Linked DNA regions of Cricetulus griseus. The protein of the gene in region 1 purifies or fractionates together with the protein of each later gene. This does not show direct contact. Links are inferred from orthologs where the notes say so. Each region holds a gene or a part of one and is shown in the gene's direction. Other genes may lie near its edges.

Region 1 (6,726 bases):
TTTACCTCCCAGGAAGAACCTCATTGTGGAAACCCATCTTTGTGGGGTTTCAGTCGGATCCAGCTGACTTGCCTGGTTCATACCTGAGGAGAGTGTGGATTGAGAAAGGGCAGGGGAAAACGCTTAAGAAAGAGATGGCAACACAGGATAGAGTCAGGAGGGCAAGCAAGTGAATACTGAACACCCCAATTTTATTCTTCAACATTCTTAAGTACCCCAACCAAAAGGGAGGACATGGCAGAAGACTTCTATTATCTTGTATAATGAGCAAACAGACCTTCTTCCCTTAATCCTCCAAGCATTTGGTAACCACACCTGTTGCCAGCCTTGAGGGTCAAGAGTAACCACACCTCATACCAAGTCTGTTGTTATTTATGAAAAGTTTTTATACCTGATAAGCCTCTCCACTGATTTAGGGATCCAAATCAGACCAAATCAAACCAAATTAGAAAAAGCCCACATTTAATGGATACAGTGTTGCCAGATGGCCTTCCAGCCCTCCAGAGAGGACACAGGAAAGAGAGACTGGAAAAACCATGAGTTTTCTGGGAGGCAGTTTAAATACCCTGTGGGAGTGGTCTTGAGCATCTCTAGGGGAGGGGTCATCATTTGGCAGGCTTTCTGAGATGCAGCTGGGTTCGGAGAGATAGAGATAGGGGGCTAGGAGAGGGAGGCTTGGGTGAAACTTCTACCATAGCATTCCAGACTCAGGGTGTATGGATGCCGGGGGCTGAGGTGAAGCTTCCACAATAATATCCCAGACTCTTTGGATGTATGGACACTGGTTCACGTCTGGCTTCTTCCTGCTGACAAGGGACAATGTGGGGGAGGGGAGAGTCAGGAGTTGGTGGGTTCACGCTCAGTGGAAGGTGTGGGTGAAGAAGCATTTCATTAGCTGCCAGTCTGTAGACCTCAGGTACCTGTTCCTTGAGCAGGCAGAGAAGGCAGGTTGCTAGGAGAAAAAAATAGATTGTTGTCATTGGCCCTATGAACGGGGGCTAGCCATGGGAAGAGTGGTAACTTCTGGAAAGAAGGGAATGGAGAAGTGTCCTGGTAGTGGCTGTGTGTGCCAAAAGTGGAAGGGCTGAGGAACAGGGCTTTCTGAACCCCTTGGAGTCCAGCCCATCTCATCATGATCGCCAGATGCTGGCCATGGAGCTGCAGGCTTTGGTTTTGGCCATATTGGATTTGGAGTTCGGGTTTGATTATTCATTGCTATGCCTTGATTGTTCCATTTTGAAGTTGGAGTGTTTATTCTGTGCAATATGTTAGAGCTAAGTTGTGTTTGGTTTTATAAGAGTTCACAGTTCAGTTTTTTGCACTTAATAAAATGTTGAAAATTTTAAGACCTCAGAAACTTAAAATTGGACTGTAGTTTACATTCATATTATGAGGGTCTCTTAGTCACTGTTCTATTGTTGTGAAGAGACACCATGACCGTGGCGTCTCTTACAAAGGAAAGCATTTAACTGGGTTTTTCTTACAGTTTCAGAGGGTTAGTCCATTATTAACATGCCAGGAAGCATTGTGGCAGGGAGGCAGACATGGAACAGGAGAAGGATCTGCAGACAGCAGGAAGAACAAGAGCCATTGGGCCTGGTTTGGGCTTTGGGAACCTAAATGCACACCCCGCAGTGACACTTTCTCCAACAAGGCCACACCTCCTAATCCTTCTCAAGTAGTGCTACTCCCTATTGGCCAAATGTCTTAGGGTTTTATTGCTGTGAAGAGGCACCATGACCACTGCAAATCTTACTTTAGTTTATTCTGTGTGTTTTTTCAACAGAGGGTTTCTCTGTGTAGCTGTGACTGTCCTGGGACTCACTGTGTAGACCAGGCTGACCTCAAACTCAAAGATCCCCTTCCTCTGCCTCCTGAGTGCTGATTGAAGATGTGCACCACCACTGCTGCGGCTGGGCTATGGCAGCTCTTTGTTTAGGAAACTATTTAATTGGGGTTGGCTTACAGTTCAGTGGTTTAGTCCATTATTGTCTTGATGGGAAGCGTGGTAGCCTGCAGGCAGGCATGGTGCTGGAGAGGTATCTGAGAGTTCTAATCCACAGGCAGTAGGAAGAGACAGTGAGTCACTAAGCCTGGCTTAAGCTTCTGAAACCTCAAAACCCACCTCCAGTGACACATCTCCTTCAACAAAGCCACACCTACTCCACCAAGGACACACCTCCTAATGTTGCCATTTCTGTGAACCAATGGGAGCCATTTCCTTTCTAACTACCACACCAAGCTTTCAAAAATAAAAGGCTATGGGGCCATTCCTTTTCATTCCACCACATTCCAATTCCTGGCACCTATAGGCTTATAGTCATATTATAATTAAAAAAATGCATTCAATCAAACGTCATAATTCCTCATAGTTAATAACAGTCTAAACAAAAGTCCAAAAGTCTCTTGTGAGACACATTACAATCTTTTAACTGTAATCTCCTGTAAAACCAAAATAAAAAAGCAGCTCACATGCTTCCAACATACAATGGCACAGAATAACATTACCATTCGAAAAGGGAGGAAAGGGAGCATAATGAGGAAATACTGGACCAAAGCAAGACTGAAAACCAGCAGGGTAAACTCCAGACTGTATCTCCATGTCTGATGTCAACAGGCTCTTCAGATCTCCAACTCCTGTTCTCTTGAGCTGTGTGCTCTGGTGATGAAAACTGTCCTGCTGTAACTTGCACCCTCTGCTCACCTTCCAGCTGATGTTGCCCAGCAGTTCCAGTTTGCTGTGAGAGTCATCGGCAGCAACTTTGCTCCAACTGTTGAAAGAGATGAATTTCTAGTAGCTGAAAAAATCAAGAAAGAACGTATGTATTTTTCTTTATTATGTGTTGGATTATGAAACGTGAAAACTCAAGAATATGTGATATGTGTATGTGTATGCTCATATGTGTGTCTACCTGCATGTGATATATGTGTGCATGCTCATGGGTATACACATGTGTGTATATGTGCCTTCTGTGTTCATGTATCCACCCATGTATGCATGTGCATATCTGTGTATGCATGTTTGCATATATACCCATATATACATGTGCATATGAGCGTATGTTTTTTTTTTCAAGCATGTTTTAGTTACAGATACTATTAAAAATAAGGACAGTTCAATTTTGTCTTGGCATTAAAATTACTAAAATATAGTGGAAGTTTATTTTTTTATTTTTTGTTTTTTTTGTAATTTATTTTTTATTTAAATTAGAAACAAGCTTCTTTTACATGTCAATCTCAGTTTCCTCTCCCTCCCCTCCTTCCGTGCCCCCCACTGACCCCGTTATCCCAACCCCTCTGCTCCCCAGGAAGGGTGAGGCCGTCCATGGGGGATCTTCAATGACTGTCATATCATTTGGAGCAGGGCCTATACCCTCCCCAGTGTGTCTAGGCTGAGAGAGTATCCCTCTATGTGGGGCAGGATCCCAAAGTTCATTGTGTACTAGGGATAAATACTGATCCACTATCAGTGGCTCCATAGACTAACCAGACATCCAAACTGACTTCCTCCTTCAGGGGGTCTGGAACAGTCCTATGCTGCTTTCTCAGCTATGAGTCTGGGGTCCATGAGCTCCCCCTTGTTCAGGTCAACTGTTTTTGTGGGTTTCTCCAGCCTGGTCTTTACCCCTTTGATCATCACTCCTCCCTCTCTGCAACTGGATTCCAGAGTTCAGCTCAGTGTTTAGCTGTGGGTGTCTGCTTCTGCTTCTATCAGCTATTGGATGAAGGCTCTAGGATAGCATATAAGGTAGTCATCAATCTCATTATCTGAGAAGGGCTTTTAAGGTAGCCTCTGGACTATTGCTTAGATTGTTAGCTGGGGTCAACCTTGTAGGTCTCTGGACATTTCCCTAGTGTCAGAATTCTCTTTAAATCTATAATGGCTCCCTCTATGATGGTATCCCTTTTCTTGTTCCCCTCCATTCCTCCCCTGACTAGATCTTCCTGCTCCCTATGTCCTCCTCTCCCCTCCCCTTCTCCCCTTCTCCCCTTCTCTTTCTTCTAATTTCCTCTCCCCTCCTCTCATGATTCCCGGTAGCTTAGGAGATCTTGTCCCTTTCCCCTTCTACGGGGGACCATGTATGTCTGTCTTAGGTTCCTCCTTGTTTCCTACCTTCTCTGTCAGTGTAAATTGTGGGCTGGTAATCCCCTGCTCCATGTCTAAAATCCATATATGAGTGAGTACATACCATTTTTGTCTTTTTGTGACTGGGTTACCTCACTCAGGATAGTTTCTCCTAGTTCCATCCATTTGCCTGAGAATTTCAAGATTCCATTGTTTTTAGTGGAAGTTTATTTTAAATGTTTCATAACACTGTAATTTAGTTTTAGAATACGAAAGATAAAAGGACTCACTGTCACCTCTTGCCTCTCTGAATTCCATATCCTAATATCCCAGTTAACCAGTCTCTATGAGGCATCATTGCTTCTTTCATTGGCCCTCAGAGTTTCAGTACTTCAGAACTGTGCAAGCATTTTACTTCTGAGATGGTACTTATGGCTGTCTTAGATGTGGCACCTTGGAGAAGGCGGCTCTCCACTCATGACACTTGGATTAGTTGTAGTAGTTGGGTTGGGTGAGGCCAGCTATCCTTCCCTCTCAGCCTTTGAAGTGCTTTGTGGAGTCTAGGCTCTGAGTAGCAGGCAGTCTTCGACAATCTGGGCCTGGCTGGAGAGAGTATTTTGCTGGAGTGCTAGCATGCTGCAGTAGGGGCCTTTCAGTGGGATTGAAAAACCTGCCTTTGATGTTATCAGCTTCTTCCTCCTGGGACCTACTATTAAACTGCCCAAATGAGGTAGGCTTTGATTTTGTTTCTAAATGTTTGACAGACTGGCAATAGCACTCCTAGGAAGTCATTCTACATGGCATAGTATCCTGCCATGAGCTGTTGCATGAGGAACTGCATGGGCCAGTGATCTTTCATAGTTGTAACACAGAGTTGGGGAGTATTGACTGGTGACATATCTGAGGCTTTCGCCCCAGAATGATTGGATCTAGTGCCTCTGCCTATTGAGAACTTGAGTGGGTGACTCTCTAAGAACCCAGCAGCTAGAATGGCAGCCTTGGCGTGACTCAGTGGTCATACCTACAGTGTGCGCCTGCAGTGGTCCTCTCTTATCAGCTGCTTTCCTTTCTTGGTTTTAAGCTACCCATGGTCAACTATGGTTGGAAAATTGTGATAGGAAAATGCATCCTACAAACAGAAGATGCATCGAACTGAAATGACCTGCCATCTTAAGGGATGCATTGAGGTCTCATGTCACTCCACTCCTTCCTGCCTGGCCTAGCAACAGTTCTCAACTTCACAAAGAACATCAACTGCTTAATGTCATAACTGTATTTTTGTGGAGTCTATTTCTGTTGTTTGTTGTTTGTTTTTCAAGACAGGGTTTCTCTGTATATCAGCTCTGGCTGTCCTAGAACTCTCTTTGTAGACCAGGTTGGCCTCAAATTCACAGAGATCTACCTGTCTCTGCCTCCCGAATGCTAGGATTAAAGGGGTGCACCACCACTGCTTAGCCATTTCTGTGTTTTAAAGATAGCTGTTGTGTTACATTTTGCTAGTAGGCAGTATAATTTTCTTTAGAGGCCTCTGTGTACAGTGTGTTCCTCAAGGGACCCATGTCTGGTCTGTAGATTCTGCTTTATCATGGAACAGAACATAGACTGAATTTGCCACTGATTACTGCTGCTTATGATGATTTGTGAGCAGAACTGGAATATCCAGACATTTATTACTAAAATGAAAATTAATGATACAATTAATCATTAATAAAATAATCAGCAATAATGAACAATAAAATATTGAAAATAAAATTAATAGTAAGTTGATACTTAGTTTGAGACAATGGTTATTTTATACTGAAGCAAGATAGACTACTGCTGCACATCTTAGCAAAAATGTTAGAATGTGACTTTTTTTGAGACAAGGTCTTGTCCTTGTGTAGCTCTGTTTGGTCAGCAAGGCTGGCCTTGAACTTACAAAGGTCCTCCTGCCCCTGCCTTCTGAGTGCCAGGATTAAAGACATGTATCATCACACCTGGCTAGAATGTGGCTTTTTAAATCAGATGGACTGTCATGTATGGTCATCATGTGAATTCATGATCCATCCCTCTGTCTCTCTGTCCCTCTTCCCTCCCCCTCCCCCTCCCCCATCCCCCCTCCCTCTGTCCCTCCAGGTAACTGTTATTAATTAGTAGAGTTGATAGTTTGCCTGGCTGTGGATCAGTATTTGCAGACAGCCCTCTCTTCATCCCAGCCCGATAGTCTTCCTGTTTTACATGCACAGAGGGGCTGGATGAGCTGACTAAATCAACATTGCTGAAAGTCTCGTGGTCCTGTACTTTGGTTTCTTAGGCAGGATTCTTCCAGCACTGCCCTGTCTGTTAGCACAGATGAAATGATTTCCTAACACTGAATCTTGGTGCATGCAACTAATATGCTCAATTCCTTTTCTACATTTTCAGTTATTCGACAAAGGAGAGAAGCAGATGCTGCGTTGTTTTCAGAGCTGCACAGAAAACTTCATACCCAGGTACAGTGAAATGTTCTGATGGCTGTGAATGGAGAATAGCTTGGGAATGCATGACCATCCTTGGGTGCTGTCTTCTAAAACTCCCTGTAGTCACAAATGGCTTTTAGTGTAGATAGCATTTCCTCTTCAGAGGCCAGTATTAGAACTAAGTGTCAGCTGAACTTCTGTGAAACTTGTGATGTGTCCTGT
Region 2 (7,347 bases), on another chromosome or scaffold:
AGCTTTGGGGTGAATCCAAAGGGGCTGTACATCAGAATTTCTTGGTGCTTCCAAAACACCAGCTCTCCCACAGGCTGATGTGGACATTGGTGTCTGTCACAGGTAATTCTGGCCATCCCAGGCTGAGATGCTCTGGACAGAGAACTCCCCAAGTCGGAACTAAGGTGTGGTTGGGTTTGTTTTGTTTTTTGTTTTGTGGGTGAAGGGGAATGGGTGTGAGCCAGGTGGAACATTTGGTGTTCTATACCCTGCCCCACCAGGCCCTCTTCGAGAGCAATAAGTGTCCTTAACCACTGAGCCATCCCTCCAGTGCTCTTTGGTTTTTATTTTACCTTTTACATTTATTTACTGTCTGTGACCACGTGCGTGTGCACATGTGCTCACATATGTGCCATGGTACACATGCCAAGATTGGAAGACAACTTGCAGGAGTCAGTTTTCTCCTACACTGAGTTCCAGGGACCAAACTCATATGATCAGGATTGGCTAGCAAGTGCCCTTACCCACTCACCATGCAAACCATGCTAGCCTCCAGCTCACAAGATCCACGGGCCTCTGCCTCCCAATTAAAGCTGTGTGCCACCATGCCTGATTAGCCCTGCTTTCCCCCTTTAAACTAGGTATTGTAAGAACCTTTTAAGATTTAGTTTTTTAAGTGTGTGTGTGTGTGTGTGTGTGTGTGTGTGTGTACGCACACACTTGAGTGTGGGTGCCCTCAGAGGCCAGAAGTATCAGATTCTCCTGGAGCTGAGTTACAGGCTGTTCTGAGCCAACCAACATGGGTGCTGGGAGTTGAACTCAGGTAAGGGCAAGGCCGTACTCTCAGCCACTAAACCACCCCAGCTCCCAACCCTGCACTCTATCTTTGGTCTTTTTGTCTCTAAACCTGTCCCTCGGGCGTGGTCCACTCTGTGGTCCACGTACCTCCACTCCCAGCACAGTTTGTGTAAGCGTTTCAAGGGCAGATGGGATGGGATGGCCAGGGAGGATCTGGCACTGGGGAGTCACAGAATACTGTGTGTTACAGCTCAGATGGAAAGGTATTCTGGCACTTGGGAGCCAAAGAATACCACAGGTCACAGTAAGCATAGCAGCTTACAGTCCTGCACCAGGGAAAGGCTTCCCCAGTGTAACAGCTCTGCTCCAGCAGGGGAGGGTCTCCCCTGCGAGGTTGTTACAGTTTGCTCCTCTCTGCTCTGCTGGGCTCTGCTGAAAAGTTTTTACTTCTCTCCTCCACTCCATTCTGGCAAAGGAAGGTCTCACCCAAACCTCATTCAAGACATTTATTGGGAGGGGAAAATCCAGGAGAGTGGCTACTTCTTCCAGGGTGGAAGAAGGCAGGGGGACAGCCTAACAGCCACAAGCTGAACAGACACAGGGTTTATATGGGGCTTCTTAGGGGAGGAGTTTTTCCAGGGAGATTTCTAGGGTGGGGATTGATTAGATTTCAATCTCTGAGCTCAGATTGACTGGATCTGGTGCTCAGGGATTGGTTGGTTGTTGGGGGCCATGGCAAAAGTAACCTTGGACCTGTAAGAGACTTGGGCAGAAGCTGCCAGTATAAGCACACTATAATCAAAAGAATAGCTGCCTTTAATCCTTTCCTCCCTGATACATAATGTCTGGGCTCATGAAGTAGCTTATAGAAGGAAAGATACATTTCATGGTCAGGTTACCTAGCAACCCTTCCCCCTTCTAACTGTCTCAGCCTTAGTCCATGAGGTTCTACCTGAGTGGGGGGTGTGGACGGCGATAAAGACCAAACACAGGCATCTTGTCATCTTTAGAGAGCTCTCAGTTCCATGTTGTGGAACTAGAGTCATTTCTTTATTAGCCATCTTTTCTGGTGTCTCTTAACCATGCTGCTAATACTATAAGGCAACCATTTCTCTCTTTGTTTCCTCGCTGCTCTGGCAGGGAGCCTCTTAACTCCCAACTTTCTGTCCTCCCAAGTTACTCATACCTCTCTCTCCTCCGCCCAGGTGAGGGCCTATTCAAGGCTTAAACTACAGAGATGCAAATTAGGAGGCATATTACCCTCAGGCTATGGTAAACAGTAGTAGCCTAGTGGCAATTAATGCAATAGTGGTGAAACCAAAGGCCGGAACTCAAAATATTCCATAGCTGAAAGATTTTGGTCCCCCACATCTAACCCATTATCTAACACCAGCACCCTGAGACCTTGGTAACCTCCTGCACTCTCAAGGACTCACGCACAGGGACATTCCTCAGCCCGGTTATCAGGCAGGCAGCCTCAAACAACCTCTCCCTTCCTGCCAAGCTCCCCGCTTGGCACCCCTATATCAGGTCCCTGTGAAAAATAAAAATTTGTAGCTTGATTAGAAACCTGTCTTACTGTCGTTCTTTGTTCCCCCTGACCCTACCGTTCTAGGTTCTTTGGTGACTGCAGCACATGGGGGGGGGGTGGTGAGCTCGCGTGATTCCCCACGGGTCAGGGCAGTTGGTTTTCTGCTCAGGTTCAGGGCTCTGGTTTCTTTCACTGGTCCCTTTTAGGCTTTGGGCTCTAATTTTAGGGCGTGTGTGTTTCTTTCACTGGCTCTGATTCCAGGGACAAAATGAGTTTCTTTGGCACTGTTTTCAGGGTCAGTGTGCATTTCTTTGGTTCTGGTTGCAGGGCTAAAGTGTGTTTCTTTGGCTGGCCCTTTTCCCCTGCAGTAGGTTTGTGCATGAGGAACACAGCCTGCTTCCCCAGGTCCAGGCAAGGATTGCGCAGCCCTCAACCATACCCATAGACACAGTCTGTTCCCCCTGAGCCTCTGCTCCAGGCCCACTGCATCACCCCCCCCCAATCCCCAGGGTGCCTGCCTGGCCAGCCTGAACATGAATTTGGTAAAACATAGCTGTAGCCTAGGTGACTGAACATTATTGTTTTATCTGCTTAGCCATAGGGCACTTGGGTGCCTGCCATACCAACAGAGCAGCAAGTAAGCTTGGGGCTGCTAGCCTTGTCTGCAGCCAACCCCAGAAGCAACCTCTGTCATGTGTTTTCTGGAAACCGAAACTAGACAAGGTTTATAAAGCATTTCCTGGGACGAGGCTGAGGAAAACCACATGGTGGTGCCTGTCTCCGCGAACAGTCTACAAAGAGCTTCTGATTGCAGCCAGCAGGGAGGCTCCGGGACCATCTTCAGCCCCTCACAGACAGGTAGTTCCTGTCTCTGGCTTCCAGGTGAGTCCCCACTCTACACAGCACGGATCACTGGCAGGCCGCTGAGCACGGGAGCCATGGTGCTCCTCCTAGATGTGTGAGAACTCTATGCAGTTGGGTGGGTGTTTGCTGAAGGGAGAAGTGTGTCAGAATCGAGCCCTTGGCCCTCTCCTGGGTCTGTGTGCTCTTGCCCAGGCCTGTGCCTACCTACACAGAGGTACCGAATGGGCCAGCAGAGGCAGACTTGTCCCAACTTCCCACACAAAGGAGTCACACAGAAACATCCTCTGCCATCCAGAGGACAACCACATCCATGTACCTGCAATGTTCCCAAGGCCTAGAGCTCTTGACCCGGCACGGACAAACCTATGGCCACAGCCTGTAGTCAGTGCAGAGGATGGGCACCTGGGGCAGTTTTCCTTGGAACTCAGGTTTCCCAGAACACAGGGTTCCCTGGGATTAAGCTGGGGTGATGTCTCAGCACACAGATGCTCCTTCTGCCTCTGCCAGGGTCTGCATGGTACAAGATGGCTCCCCCTGGGCAGACCCCAACTTGGGGCTCACTAGCTGTGTGACCTGGAGACAGCTGACCCTCTAGCTTCAGAGTGTCTTGGGATGTGGAAACTCGCCTGGGGTCTTGTTTACTCTATGGCTGGCTTTAGAAGGCTGCAGAGGGGGACCTGCTGAGTGTGGTGGGGAGGGTGCCCAGCAACGAGCTTCCCACCCCGGCGTGTTACAGGACTCGATGGTCAGAGTCTGTGCCCAGACAGCTCCCCCGATACCAGGCTCAGCCGCGCATCCTCTGTGGTACAGTTAAAGATACAATAGTGAGAAACATAAACAGGAGCTTTACCTGATGGGACCACGTGGAGAAGATGAGCACAGATCCAGCCTCCCCCTTGAGTCCATTAGGGGGTACTAACATGAGGTCTAGATTTAAACAGAGGGCTAGAGGTGTGGAAAACTCAGCTAGCCTGGTCATTGCCTGGGCTGTCAGTCTCTTTCCTGGAGACAAGCTCCCCCTAGTGAAGCTGTCACCACAATTCAGCTTTCTCCTCTCAGCATGAGACTCCTGGGGGAATTCCAGCTCCTTGGGGTGCCTTGTTTCAGTAGTCAAAGGGAGGGGCACAAGTCTCTCTTTGAACATCATCACCCCTGCCAGGATGGCTACAAGTGGGCTGGGACCCTGAGGTCCTTCATACTGGTCTAGTGTAGAAGTCTGGGACAGGGGTGGCAGAAGGGTATGGGGGGTGAGGGGCAACCCTGTATTTCTACTGCTCCTGGGCTATCTCTGGTGCACATCCCCGGGCCCCTGGTCTGAGTAACAAAGAAACAACTTGAGGTTACCAGCTGTTGCCCAGTAGATAGTGCTCCTAATAGCACCACCCGCTAGCCAGAGCCAAGCTCTCCTGTCTGCTGGGAGTGGAGTGGGTGTCACCAGGCCTCCTGCACTGTGGTCGTCCACATCCTTGCAGGGATGAGGGCCAGTGCCTGGGTGAGGGGCACAGCCTAAAGATAGGCAAGAGCTTAGGCCATAGCCTAAGGACTGAGTCCCTCTCTGCCCACCTGCTTAGAGCTGGCAGCATATTAGGAGTTGACCCTGACACACCTGCCACCCACCCCTTCACACCTCCCACCCACCCCTTCACACCTCCCACCCACCCCCTCACCCCTTCCCACCCACCCCCTCAAACCCTTCCCACCATCCCACTTCACACTCCCACCCACCCCCACTTCACACCTCCACCCCACCCACTTCACACCTCCCACCCACCCCTTCACACCTCCCACCCACTCCCTTTACACCTCCCACTCCCCACTCCCCCACTCACACCTCCCACCCACCCCCCACCCCTCCACCCACCCCCTTCACCTCCCACCCACCCCCTTCACCCTCCCACCCACCCCCTTCACCCCTCCCACCCACCCCCTTCACACCTCCCACCCACCCACTTCACACCTCCACCCACCCCTTCACCCCTCCCACCCACCCTTCACACCTCCCACCCACCCCCACTTCACACCTCCCTCCCACCCCTTCACACCTCCCACCACCCCTCACACCTCCCACCCACCCCCTCACCCCTTCCCACCCCACTCCCTTCACACCTCCCACCCACCCCCTTCACACCTCCCACCCACCCCCACACCTCCACCCACCCCCTTCACACACCACTCCCTTTACACCTCCACCCACCCCTTCACACCTCCCACCCACTCCCTTCACACCTCCCACCCACCCCCCACACCTCCCACCCACCCTCACCTCCCACCCACCCCCTCACCCTTCCCACCCACTCCCTTCACACCTCCCACCACCCCCTTCACACTCCCACCCACTCCCTTTACACCTCCCACCCACCCCTTCACACCTCCCACCCACCCCCTCACCCCTTCCCACCCCACTCCCTTCACACCTTCACACCTCCACCCACCCCCGCTTCACACCACTGGAGCCCAGGCCCTTCTGCACTGTTTCTGTCACTCCCCTCCTGAGGGAGGAGACCCCTGTTCCAACCTCATCCACAACTCCTCCCACTGGTGTCTCTCATGCCTCTGGGGCACACCACACAGAGGGGCTGTTGCCTGAAGATAAGGCCAACTGTTAACAGGCTTACACCCTGTCCTTTCCCAAGGGACAGCCCCTTGTGCTTCCTGGGTCCTCATTGCCAGGAGCTCCACCTGGGAAATCTCACTGACCTGAAGGTTGTCCCCAGAGCATGTGAGAGGCCTGCGTGAGGGCCTCACATTGTCATCTAGGCCCTGTAGAAGAGAGGCCGCCCTCAAAACTGCCCTGTCCCCCACAAGCAGGGCCGAGAGGACCGTGGAACTGCTCATTTCCAGGGAGAACTTACCAGCCTCACTCTGTTGTCCCTTCCGCTGCAGGGTTGGACTTCTGGGCCAGGCAATGGCTCTCCTGTGGCTCTTTTCTTTGTGGTTGCTGGTTCCGGGAACTCAAGGTGAGTCATGCCTGCTGGGAAATGTCCAAAATAGAGGTCTTCAAGGCTACTGCACTTCGCTCTGTGGGTCACCCCCTCCTTGCAGAAAACCCAGATGTGAGGTGCTGTGTCTCGGGATTCTCTCCATGTGGACCCCCAGTCATTCCAAGTAATGGTGGTGTGTGGGCCCTCGGGCTCACCTGGGCCCAAGTGAAACTCAGGTGATGGAGAAATGCCCAGGAACCTCCCATCTCATCCTTGGGCCAAGGAGGGCGTTCTGGGCCTGTGCTAACCTAGAATGGAGGCCTCAGGGCACAGGTTAGAATTCAGAGAGTCCCTGAGGGTAGTCATCCTGCACCCTCAGCTGAGCATCCCTCTTTAGCATGGGTGACCCCCAAATTCAAGCACCCAGCTACTTGCTGGCCCTCTGAGCACTGGCAGAGATAGGAGCCCCAGAGAGTGGGGGACAGGAGCCCGTTGCCTGAGTGCAGACTGTCTGTGGTTCAGGGTTGTCTGCTTTAGACTGATGCTGTAGGTTTGAGGGGCATCTCTCTCTGCCTGTGTCTGCCTGTCCCCTCAGGCCAGTATTCCAAGAGCCAGCAAGGGACCACTTCCCCTCCCAGATCCTCCGGGGGCCACCACTTCCACTCTGCAGGCTGGAGATCTGAGGTGTTCCTTTGTAGCAAAAGGCCCAGTACTGAGAGATAGAAAGGCCACAGCCTCCTTGTGGGCCCTCACAGAGCTTCCACACCTCCTCAGTGGATAACTTTTCACACCTGGAGAGGGGGCATGGAAGTGGTTCAAGACCAACTCTAGAAGGCCATTGCACCCCAGTTGGGGCAGCCTTCACCCAGCAGAACAGCACAAAGCATCGAAGTCCTGGGGGTGGGCACCAAAACAGGCCAGCCCTCCTCCCGTCTGACCTCCGCTTTCCTGGCAGGTACCGAAGATGGGGACATGCGTCTGGTTAATGGAGCCTCAGCCAGTGAGGGCCGCGTGGAGATCTTCTACAGAGGCCAGTGGGGGACAGTGTGTGACAACCTCTGGAACATTTTAGATGCCAACGTCGTTTGCCGGGCCCTGGGCTACGAGAACGCCACTCGGGCGCTGGGCAGAGCTGCCTTCGGGCCAGGTGTGGCTGCTATCCCACCCCTCCAAAGCTGACGTCCTAGTGTGTCAGTGAGCGGCCCTGTTGAGGGACCTGCTCTCCACCAAGGGTCCAGTTCCCCCTCCAGTGCA

The links.
Region 2: the proteins of Tubgcp3 (region 1) and Lgals3bp purify together in Homo sapiens (affinity purification with mass spectrometry; 4 studies listed by BioGRID and IntAct, counting the BioPlex papers as one, with this or other methods). This does not show direct contact. The link is inferred for Cricetulus griseus from reciprocal best matches to the Homo sapiens genes TUBGCP3 and LGALS3BP.

Annotation. Positions count from the first base shown.
Region 1 is NW_023276807.1:68,079,944-68,086,669, forward strand, and holds part of Tubgcp3 (gamma-tubulin complex component 3), read left to right. Parts: intron 1-2,711; coding exon 2,712-2,819; intron 2,820-6,469; coding exon 6,470-6,537; intron 6,538-6,726. UniProt on the Homo sapiens protein: Component of the gamma-tubulin ring complex (gTuRC) which mediates microtubule nucleation.
Region 2 is NC_048600.1:130,943,259-130,950,605, reverse strand, and holds the start of Lgals3bp (galectin-3-binding protein), read left to right. Parts: upstream 1-3,027; 5' UTR 3,028-3,190; intron 3,191-6,055; 5' UTR 6,056-6,077; coding exon 6,078-6,129; intron 6,130-7,048; coding exon 7,049-7,240; intron 7,241-7,347.